3 linked regions of the Xenopus tropicalis genome follow. The protein of the gene in region 3 purifies or fractionates together with the protein of the main gene of each other region. This does not show direct contact. Links are inferred from orthologs where the notes say so. Each region holds a gene or a part of one and is shown on either strand. Other genes may lie near its edges.

Evidence for each region.
Region 1: the proteins of cct7 (region 3) and tubd1 purify together in Homo sapiens (co-immunoprecipitation; 3 studies listed by BioGRID and IntAct, counting the BioPlex papers as one, with this or other methods). This does not show direct contact. The link is inferred for Xenopus tropicalis from reciprocal best matches to the Homo sapiens genes CCT7 and TUBD1.
Region 2: the proteins of cct7 (region 3) and pdcl3 purify together in Homo sapiens (co-immunoprecipitation; 4 studies listed by BioGRID and IntAct, counting the BioPlex papers as one, with this or other methods). This does not show direct contact. The link is inferred for Xenopus tropicalis from reciprocal best matches to the Homo sapiens genes CCT7 and PDCL3.

Annotation. Positions count from the first base shown.
Region 1 is NC_030678.2:91,505,016-91,508,744, reverse strand, and holds part of tubd1 (tubulin delta chain), read left to right. Parts: intron 1-662; coding exon 663-894; intron 895-2,228; coding exon 2,229-2,393; intron 2,394-3,729. UniProt on the Homo sapiens protein: Acts as a positive regulator of hedgehog signaling and regulates ciliary function.
Region 2 is NC_030678.2:110,232,979-110,236,807, reverse strand, and holds the start of pdcl3 (phosducin-like protein 3), read right to left. Parts: upstream 2,547-3,829; 5' UTR 2,500-2,546; intron 2,407-2,499; coding exon of another isoform or gene 2,371-2,406; coding exon 2,365-2,370; intron 393-2,364; coding exon 272-392; intron 1-271. UniProt on the Homo sapiens protein: Acts as a chaperone for the angiogenic VEGF receptor KDR/VEGFR2, increasing its abundance by inhibiting its ubiquitination and degradation.
Region 3 is NC_030677.2:16,900,520-16,904,119, reverse strand, and holds the start of cct7 (T-complex protein 1 subunit eta), read left to right. Parts: upstream 1-1,010; 5' UTR 1,011-1,048; coding exon 1,049-1,054; intron 1,055-3,600. Other genes in the region: pradc1 (protease-associated domain-containing protein 1), read right to left, coding at 1-18. UniProt on the Homo sapiens protein: Component of the chaperonin-containing T-complex (TRiC), a molecular chaperone complex that assists the folding of actin, tubulin and other proteins upon ATP hydrolysis.

The sequences.
Region 1 (3,729 bases), on a different chromosome or scaffold from region 3:
TGTACAGGTAACATTCTGAATGAAAGACTATTTCATTTGGCTGTTAATCTGAACATAGCACCTATTATTATGTGTTGCTTATTATTTGGCCATTTGTAATTTATGGACGTTAATTATTTTCCACACTGTTTGAATCTGAATCCTAAATGGAATACTTTTTTTGTGTTATTGAATTTCAGATTATAGTTAGAAAATGGCAAGTATGATAGATTTTATATGCTTATAGAAGTACTTTACATTAGGAACATAATGTGCTGTAAGGCTGATCTGATTAAATCTGTTGAACTGCCTCTTTAAAGGAACCCCTGTTAAAACCCAGTAACCCAATATTATCAACACTTGAAAAAGGGATGTTCAAACTGCTTTTCTCCTATTCGGCACTTGCTAATTAGCAGTTGTTCCCATTCTGCACTAAATGGATAGATGATTTTTTAAAATATATTGCTTACGAAACTGCACAAGATACTAGAATAGTAGTCAGAGTGAAATACATTCTCCATGTAGACAGTATGCAAGTTTTGTATTTGTACCTTTAGGTTTGAGGTATTAGAATGGTAATACATGCCCCATTTATCCTTTTGAGTTCAGCTTCATTGGTTTTCAGGCTCACAATAGAGTAATATTGCAGAAAGTTTTAAAGAAAACACTTTTTTTCCTGGCAGGTTATTGTTCAAAACTACAATTCTATTTTGACGCTCTCTCATCTCTACCGGTCTTCAGATGCCCTGCTAGTTCATGAAAATGATATTATTCATAAAGTTTGCTCTCAGCTGATGAATATAAAGCAGATTTCTTTCAGGGATGTCAACAAAGTAATTGCACATCAGCTGGGCAGTATATTTCAGCCAGTGTATACATCAGAAGAAGCCTTGCACTACTGCAGAAATCCACTTGGTATGTCTTTAATTTATTACTACAGTCTAACAAGTAAATGTAATTTGCTGTTTGATAGAGCATAGTATGAAATATAGAACACAACTTTAACCTTTAACACGCCATGTCATTCTTGCCTCCATGTGTTTATTTCTTTACACTTTTACCTTTATCTGCATCTCTAACATTCCTCCTGCTCTGTTCCCACAATTGACTTTTACTTAGGGGCACATTTACTAAAATGTGTTTTTTTCTGGCCTCGAAACATGATATGGTATAATTTCGAAGTAACCACGATAATTTCTGTAGTTCTAAAATGTCTCGACAATGCTTTTATTGTTCGTACAAAAATATCGCAGTTGCGTTCCAAATGTCACAAAATTTTTGTGCCAAAAAGTTTGTTAACGCCTTCCATAGGACACAATGGCACTCGACAGATCAAACCTGGTGAAAAGATAGTCCAGATGAAAGTGTGACCAAAGCGTTAACGAATTCCGAAATGTTTATATTCTTTGCGCAAAGTATGATTTTTTGTGGAAATTTACCACAATTTTAATGAAATTTTTGCGTACATTACATGTTCTATAATTTAGAAAAAATACAAATATATCTCCAAATCGTTTAGTAAATGGGACCCTTAGGGGGAGATTTACTAATCCACGAATCTGAATCCCAAAAGGGAAAAATTTGGATTGGAAGCAAAAATGTTGCCGTCTTTTCATCGCTGTCACGACTTGTTTGTATTTGTCGCGACTTTTTCGTATTAAGCGGTTGTAAACGGCGGAAAAACCAATCCGATTTTTTCACGACGGCAATGAAAAAGTCACAGAAAATATACAAAAAAGTTGCGACGGCAATGAAAAAGCCGCGGAACATACGTAAAAGTCGCAACGGCAACGAAAAAGTCGCAAAAATACAGATCATTACAAAAAAAACTCATTCTAACGCCTTCGGACCGTTCGTGGATTAGTAAATGTGCCCCTGTGTGTACTCACCTACATTCTACATGATAATTTACATGCATTTTTTATTTTTCCACCCCACTGCTTTCTGTGCTACGTGCAGAATCTTTCTCAGCAACTTTATTTTTACTCCATTGTTCCACACATCTTCTCATCAATCCTTTAAATCTTTCACACAGCTTTTGTGGTCTGTGCACATTAATTTACTACCTAATTCATCCTTTATCAGATATGTCCATTGGGCATATCCATGCATGGAAAACAGTGTTCTTTTTAGTGTAACCACACAAATTTAAAAGGCCACATTAAAATAAAAATAAAAAAAAAATATATATATATATATAAACTTTTTCAGGGTGCTTGCTAATACAATATTTTTCCTTTTCTTCCCAGGGGAATTAATGGAGTGTTTGGTTCCACACCCAGAATACAAGATGCTGGGTCTCCGTAACATTCCTCAAATGTCTGAACACTCCTTGGCATACAGTACATTTAATTGGAATGGGCTGCTCAAACATTTGAGGCAAATGCTCATTGCAAATGCTAAAATGGAAGAAGGTAAGGACACTCATGAAATAGTACTTAAAATAAATACAAATAGCTAGGCAGTTAAAACATAAGCTGTCTTGTTCACTGCTAGAGTTTATTTCTCTTGGACATTCCCATGGTGATTTTGGACAGTTTTATGGAATAAAAGCTCCTTTCACTTATGTTGTTTAAATGATTTTACTGATAGAAATTGTGGTTATAGCTTCCACAGTAAGAGCATCACAAAACTTAATTCTGTTGGCTCCCATGTTAGCACACAAACCTGTCTTAGTGTATTCAGCTTAGATCACCTAGACATATACTAAAATTTTTGCAAAGAGAATTTATTTTCTGCTCACATACATCATTCTGTGTAAAAGTTTTGTCAGTATAAATCCAGAAAGACAAAAGTCCCTGAAGTCATTGATATTTCCATGAACAGCCCTCTGCCATGTTTCCTTTAAAGTGATACTGACACCAAAAAATTTATTTTAAAAGTATGAACCTACTTCCAAACCTACCTATAGGTCATGTTGACTTTTTTTCTAAAAGTCCTGTTTCTCTACATAAATCTTACTGAAGATCCTGAACCCGACTGTCTGGCAACCCGACTGTAGCTTCTCAATCTGTCAAAAGGACTGCGTCATAAACTGGGAGGATTCAGCTTGCCATTTGCTTCAAAGAGCTCCCCCTCCCTCGCATAGCATTGCATGGAGTTGTGAACTAGATAGCAGGCAGGCTTCATCTTTCCATTGCCTGCCTACTTCAAAGGGCTGTGCCCCCTCTCTGCTCTTCCCACGAAGAATTAAATAACAGGCCTGCTTAAGCTCTCCAGTGCCTGTCTGCTTCTAAGGGCTCTCTCTTCCCCCTCCCCTCCCCATTACACATAGACTACGGAGCTGAGCTTGTCACACCGGCAGAAAGCAGAAGGGGCATGCAGCTTTGTGATTGGGCATATTTATTCATTTGGGAGGCATTTCAATGAAAATCTGGAAAAGGGGAACAAACATGGCTGCTCCGTGGGTCTGTAATTTGTGCTACCATAATTATGAAGTGGAAAAACTTTGCAGATTTAGTTTATAAGGAATTTAAAGCTGATACAAATTAAAACACAACAGCAGGTGTAAAAATAATTTAATTGGCTGTCAGTATCACTTTAATTCCACTGCTAGATATCAGGAATTTTTAGAACAAGTGTGCCAATTAATAAATGCCCTATAAAATATTCCTACAAAAACACACAACAACTAATTACTTTGGAACCAGCACACCCTAAATAATGGGTTTCTTTACTCTTTAGACATTGTACAATTGTCCAGTGTTTCAGCCAATATTAGACCTTTAGGACCTTTCTCAAGGATGGAGA
Region 2 (3,829 bases), on a different chromosome or scaffold from region 3:
AACATCAATACTAATTGTATATTTTAGTATCACAATAGCCTTGGATATTATCCTTGTTCAAGAAATCATCTAAACCACTCTTAAAAGGCATTAAAAGAATCTACCATCACAACATTACTCAGAAAATACAAGGGATGTAATTCCTCATTGAAATGTGGGTGTGCTTGCCTCTATTCTATTGCAGGTTAGTGTCTTTTATTACATAAACCCATTTAACACCAAAAACCATAATGAAAACTTGAGTTTCTCTGTTAGTACCCTTATAACTCACCAACAGATTGTTGCTGGAGAATTTCTGCTTCTTCCTCCTCTTCATCCTGTGGCTTTTCCTTTGGAGGAAGGATACCTTTTCTACGCAGAATATCATTCCACTCTGTGTCTGCGTTTGGATCCTAAAACAAGCATGTGTCAATTTAAAAAATGCAACAATAACCCAAACAAGAGTCTTAAAACATTAAATGATCTAGAAAGAACACTTTTTTCCCCTTAAAGGAGAATGCAAGTCAAAAGTTAAAAAGCATACTGCCCAATAGTCCTCCTATTGTTTAGTAAAAACGCCACACTTTTGGCTCACCTAATCCAATATTTACTCAGTCACACTTACTTACATTTTCTAGAACAGGCAGCCATCTCTAAAAAGGTATTCTCCCTTCCCTTCCCTCCTTGCTTCATACTGCACATGTGTTTCATTCCCTCCCCCCCCCCCCTCTGCCAGATCCGCTTCTGATTGGCTGGTGGGCATGTGTAGCTCAGAACAGGAGACAGGATCAAGTTACACACATGCTCAGAGAATAGGAAGGCTGCCGTTGGCAGCCTACAAGAAGGGCAGAGAGATTTCAGTGATGTCACTGTAGGCTTCACACTGCTGTAGGCTGCCAGCACTATATCTCAGAGAAGCAAGCAGGGATCTGGGAATTTAGATATGCAGTAAATACTTAAAAAGAATGCCTTTAGATTTACTTTTAATTTATATTAAGCTTTCATTGTCCTTTAAACTTTATTTTAAATGTTAAAAACAGTATACACATAAAGGTTTTTAGCTCCAATCAGTGTGCACTACCTTCCAGTTATGTTACAATCCACACAGTGGATACTAATCCAAGGAGTGCACTTTCTTTTGTGGCAGAACTTGAAAACAAAGACTGGAAAAGGTAAGGACATTCATAACCACTAATGATACCACAGATGACAGATCAAAGAATAAGCGCAATTGTTAACTGCTTCTTCAATACTAATAAAATATTTTTCTTCTTTAAATGAGGAGAGCTCTGGGAGACTGTACCCAGTAACATTAAAACCAAATACAGTACAGGTAAGGGGTCTGTTATCTGGAAACCCTCTATCCAGAAAGCTACGAATTTCAGAAAGGGCATCTCCTATAGACTCCATAAAATAATTCAACATTTTAAAACATATTTCCTTTTCACTGTATTGTACTTGATCCCAACTTAAATATAATTTATCATTATTAATTGGTGGCAAAAAAAATCCTACTGGGTTTATGCAATGTTAAATGATTTGTTAGTAGACCTGAAGTATGCAGATTCATATTACGAAAAGAGTCCTTATCTGGAAAACCCCAGACGCTGAGCATTCTGGATAACAGGTCCCATACCTGTATTATGTAGCTGGGCAGACTGCATGGTCTTGACGGAACTACACTGAGGGGGACATTTGCTAGCACCACTGTTGGTATGTCTAGAACAGAATCACACTAAAGTTGGCCATACACGCATCGATGATATTGTACAAAACCTCGTTTCGAATGATATTTGGTGCGTGTATGGTGGCTCAATGAGATGACCGATATCACAAAAGGCTGCAGATATCAGTCGACTTGTCGATCGGCCAGGTTAAAAGATTTTGATCGGGCGCCATTTAAGCAAAATCTACATTCAGGGCTGAATCGGCTGAAAGAGGTAGAATTTCCATTGTTTCTACCTCCATATCTGATGATTCAGCCCTGAACATCAGTGGAGGGTGGGAAAGAACAAAATTGCTATGTATGGCTACCTTAAGATCCATAACTTCTGTTATGTAAAGGCAACATCTCTTTTTGTTTGTCAGACTCTGCTCCTCTATTGCTCTGCAAATGACTTGCCTATGTGCTAATTTTAAGTTGCAGCAGTAATTTCAATTTAGAAAGACAAAGCCCATATGTATAATAGCCGGGAGGTGTAGCCAGAAAGGGACAGAGCCTATTATACTGTGGAGCAGGCAACCACTCAACATCCACAAACGCATTTTTTTCGCCCGGGTAGACTATATAATTTATTGTGCCCCCTGCCCCCCTCGGGTGCAAGTAGCAAGCCCCGGCGCTACCCTACATACACACTGCTGAGTAAAGAGACGTATCCCTCTCACCTGCATCTCGCCGCTCCCTGGGCACACGCAGTGTAAGCGATTCTGCACAAAACAAGAATAATAAGAGATACGTTGAGAAAAAGGTTACTATAACATTACTGTCACTATAAAACCCCGCAGCTCCCTGTCTCTTACAAGCCTCTCACAGACACACGCTGCTAGCCGGCTGGGGGAAGTACCCGTGAGCCTCTGCTAGTGCTTCCTGCCCCAGTGCCTGGCCTTATAAGGAAGTAGCTCGATATGGAGCCGCCACTGCCTGACAGAGCCGTGTGTGTGTGTGTGTGTGTAACATTAGTGCAGCTGTCAGGGGGAGGAAACCGTGTGTGTCAGAATCTGTTCTTAACTGAACCTCAAAATGTTAAGACTTGGCAAGGAGGTTAATAAAAGTGCCCATATATTAGTAAACTCAGACCCCTTATTGTGAAAAAGGGATTTGGGTTAATACCCCTTTTGAGTCCATTTCAAACCCTTCCAGTACTTTATACATAAATACAAGTTGCTTATTTGATGTTTAAAGTTCTCACACGGTCTCTCGTCATTAAGGTGTGAGTGGAATTAACAGGCTGTTGGTTTTCACTTCCAGAGACCACACAGTATAAATGCAGCGGTGTATAAGTAAATCCTGCGCCTCCGCTTGCACTCCCTCCAACAAAATAATCAGAGTTCATAGCGTAACAGACTTCATCTAAACACACCGGCATGCTATTAAGCAACTTACGTTGAGTTTAGAAAAATCCCACGTTTACGGGCAGTAGCAGTCTCCTTCCCTATACCGATTCAGAGCTTGCTTCCCTTCCTCCCATGTGATTCTCCTCCCGGTGCCTGCGGGGTCCTAATGCTCTCAGCTAGTTTCTCCAGTCACAGCACTCCCCAACATCCACTCCCCAACATCCACTCCAGATATGCAAAAATCAGAATGCACTATTAAGAATTGTAATCAATTCAGTATAAAATTAAAAATCAAGACTTATATATAGGATTCCTGAATCAAGCCCAATTTAAAAAAATATACATAAATAGATAAAACATTAAATACAGAATTCCTAAACCCATATAAATAGTTAGAGCCACAGTTACAAGTGTTAATATAAAAAAGGAAAATACTCATAAGAAGCATGTCAGGTGAAAATCAATATTTAACCCCTGAGGCACCAGTGTCCCCAGCTGATATATCCATTTAGTTTCTTCCAGGGAGAGACTCTTTTTTAAGTCTCCTCCTCTCCATTTGGGTTTCATATGGCTCATCCCCATAAACTTAAGGCCACTGGGGTCTTTATTGTGTACCTTGGCAAAGTGTTGAGATAAATGATGTTTCATATACCCCTTTTTTATATTCCGTATATGTTCCCCCAATCTCGTCTTTAGCTTTCTTGTGGTTCTCCCAACATATTGCTTTCCACAAGGGCACTGTAGGAGGTAGACAATATTGAAGTTCAATGGCTGTTTTACTGTATATGTTCTCCCT
Region 3 (3,600 bases):
GCACACACCACCTTGCATGTCTGCCAATGCAGCGCTCCGCCCTCCCCCTCATCCTATTGGTACAGATCAGCGGCTCTCATTGGCTCCCCGTTTCATCACCAACCAATTACCAAATTCCGTCTAATACACAGGAATCCAATAACAAGCGTGTGTGTCCGTCTTCAGCACCAAGCTTGCAACATGGGGAAGCACCTTCCCCCCCACGGCAGTGAATGGTATAGCCCTCACACAGTCTTTGGAACGTGGGGGACGTTCCACTGGGGAAAGCCCGGGGGACGTCACAGTGCCTTATTACTTTCCTTATGCAATAAATGCTCCAGCACTTAACCTAAACTTCCCCCCACGGCAATGAATGGTATAGCCCTCACACAGTCTTTAGAACGTAGGGGACGTTCCACTGGGAAAAGCCCGGGGGACTTCACATTGCCTTATGACTTTCCTTACGCAATAAATGTTCCAGCACTTGAGTTAAGCTGCCCATCTGCACATTATTTCATAAATAAAAATCACAGTAGTTACTTCCCATCCAAGCCAGCGACATTCCACTACTCCTCCGGCTACATTGCCCATGTTACAGGGTAGGGCAGATAGTAGCAGGCAGACAAAAGTAAATATTATAATACTTTAATACCGATCAATGACAGCACACTTGCGCGCTGAGGGATTGGGTGTACCAAGATGGCGTAGCGGAATTAGCCCGCTTGTTTGGGTGTACCAACATGACTGAGAGTAAAACATTGCTTGTCAGGTATTTCTGAGCCCAGTGCGACTATCCAGCCTCTCTGCGCCTGAGCATGAACGCATTACATGGCCACAACCATAACTACGTTGGGCGAACAGGGTAGAATCCAACTTAGCAACCGGTGAAATCATGCCCTAGCCGGGCGAGCCGCGTCGTCAAGGCGACAGCTTCTAAACACGCCCCTTATCGCCCAGCCCCTCGGCCGTTGGTAGTTGGCTGCCGAAGGTTCCGGAAGGCCTTCCCGGTGCATTGTGGGAACTGCAGCACCCGGCTTCTGTGAATCTATACCCGGCGCCGCTCAGCAAGATGATGGTGAGTGTGCAATCCGCTTCCATCCTCCGCCATCCGGCCCGGGGCTCTAACGCACCCTGCGGCCCTTGTGTCTCCGAGGGGTTCTGCGTCTCTACCGCAATCATGTGCCGCTGTTTCACACAAAGCCGCAGCGCCTGTCTCTTGGCCTCATTAGCCGCTCCTCTCAGGGCCATTACAGGCTGCCCCGACCCTTCATTTAGCCTGTAGGGCCCTGGGCAAGTGGGCAGTGCTTACTATACCCTGTAGTGCCCCTTAGGCAGCCCCCCCCCCGGCACAGGCAGCCCCCCAGTCACCCCTTAGGCAGCCCCCAGTCACCCCTTAGGCAGCCCCCCAGTCACCCCTTAGGCAGCCCCACCCTGGCACAGGCAGCCCCCCAGTCACCCCTTAGGCAGCCCCCAGTCACCCCTTAGGCAGCCCCCAGTCACCCCTTAGGCAGCCCCACCCTGGCACAGGCAGCCCCCCAGTCACCCCTTAGGCAGCCCCCAGTCACCCCTTAGGCAGCCCCCAGTCACCCCTTAGGCAGCCCCACCCTGGCACAGGCAGCCCCCCAGTCACCCCTTAGGCCAGTGTTTTTCAACCTTTTTTGGGCAAAGGCACACTTGTTTCATGAAAAAAATCACAAGGCACACCACCATTAGAAAATGTTAAAAAATTTAACTCTGTGCCCAGCAGCAGTGCCCCCCTAGTACATTGGTGCCCAGCAGCAGTGCCCCCTAGTACATTGGTGCCCAGCAGCAGTGCCCCCCTAGTACATTGGTGCCAAGAGCAGTGCCCCCCTAGTACATTGGTGCCCAGCAGCAGTGCCCCCCTAGTACATTGGTGCCAAGAGCAGTGCCCCCCTAGTACATTGGTGCCCAGCAGCAGTGCCCCCCTAGTACATTGGTGCCAAGAGCAGTGCCCCCTAGTACATTGGTGCCAAGAGCAGTGCCCCCTAGTACATTGGTGCCCAGCAGCAGTGCCCCCCTAGTACATTGGTGCCCAGCAGCAGTGCCCCCCTAGTACATTGGTGCCAAGAGCAGTGCCCCCCTAGTACATTGGTGCCCAGCAGCAGTGCCCCCTAGTACATTGGTGCCCAGCAGCAGTGCCCCCCTAGTACATTGGTGCCCAGCAGCAGTGCCCCCCTAGTACATTGGTGCCCAGCAGCAGTGCCCCCCTAGTACATTGGTGCCCTGCCTACGGCACTCCAGGCAACATCTCGCGGCACACTAGTGTGCCGCGGAACAGTGGTTGAAAAACGCTGCCTTAGGCAGCCCCACCCTGGCACAGGCAGCCCCCCAGTCACCCCTTAGGCAGCCCCCCAGTCACCCCTTAGGCAGCCCCCCAGTCACCCCTTAGGCAGCCCCCCAGTCACCCCTTAGGCAACCCCCCAGTCACCCCTTAGGCAGCCCCACCCTGGCACAGGCAGCCCCCCAGTCACCCCTTAGGCAGCCCCCCCGCCACAGGCAGCCCCCCAGTCACCCCTTAGGCAGCCCCCCCGGCACAGGCAGCCCCCCAGTCACCCCTTAGGCAGCCCCCCAGTCACCCCTTAGGCAGCCCCCCAGTCACCCCTTAGGCAGCCCCCCCAGTCACCCCTTAGGCAGTCCCACCCTGGCACCCCTTAGGCAGTCCCACCCTGGCACAGGCAGCCCCCCAGTCCCCCCTTAGGCAGCCCCACCCTGGCACAGGCAGCCCCCCAGTCCCACCCTGGCACAGGCAGCCCCCCAGTCCCACCCTGGCACAGGCAGCCCCCCAGTCCCACCCTGGCACAGGCAGCCCCCCAGTCCCACCCTGGCACAGGCAGCCCCCCAGTCACCACTAAAGATTATTAGACTATAAGCAGTGCCAATAGCCCCATGGTACACTGCAGCCTGTCAGACACAGGGCACAGAGTGCCAGTCACCTAGAGCCGGTCAGACCGTGGGCACTGCCATTGCTACTGTGCATTGAAAACACTTCTATGTGTTGTTCATCCCTTGGGCAGTGCCAGTGTCTCAGTGATCCCTGTCAGACCTTGGCCAGTACTGGGGACCAGTATAGGTTGGCAGATCCTGGACATTAGCAGTGCCCCAGTACATCCCGGGTGCTACAGTACCACTGGGCGGCCCATAGCTGGTACCAGAGTCTGTTTTTCCTGCTGGGATTTTCAAGACCAACTCTTGATCTCTGGGAACCTTAACGTAACTTTCTCTTGTGAGGGGAAAGGCACATTTGTCAGGCAGGTTGCAGTTGGTCATAATCACTTGCCCATTGGGGAGACATCCCTGTCCCCATGAGCCATGAAGGCTGTTAGGGAAACCTCTGTGGGGCAGTTTAGAATGGGTTTCAGGAGGGAACCAGATCCGGCCCGGGGAGGGGGCCAAATCCGGCCCGGGGAGGGGGCCAGATCCGGCCCGGGGAGGGGGCCAGATCCGGCCCGGGGAGGGGGCCAGATCCGGCCCGGGGAGGGGGCCAGATCCGGCCCGGGGAGGGGGCCAGATCCGGCCCGGGGAGGGGGCCAGATCCGGCCCGGGGAGGGGGCCAGATCCGGCCCGGGGAGGGGGCCAGATCCGGCCCGGGGAGGGGGCCAG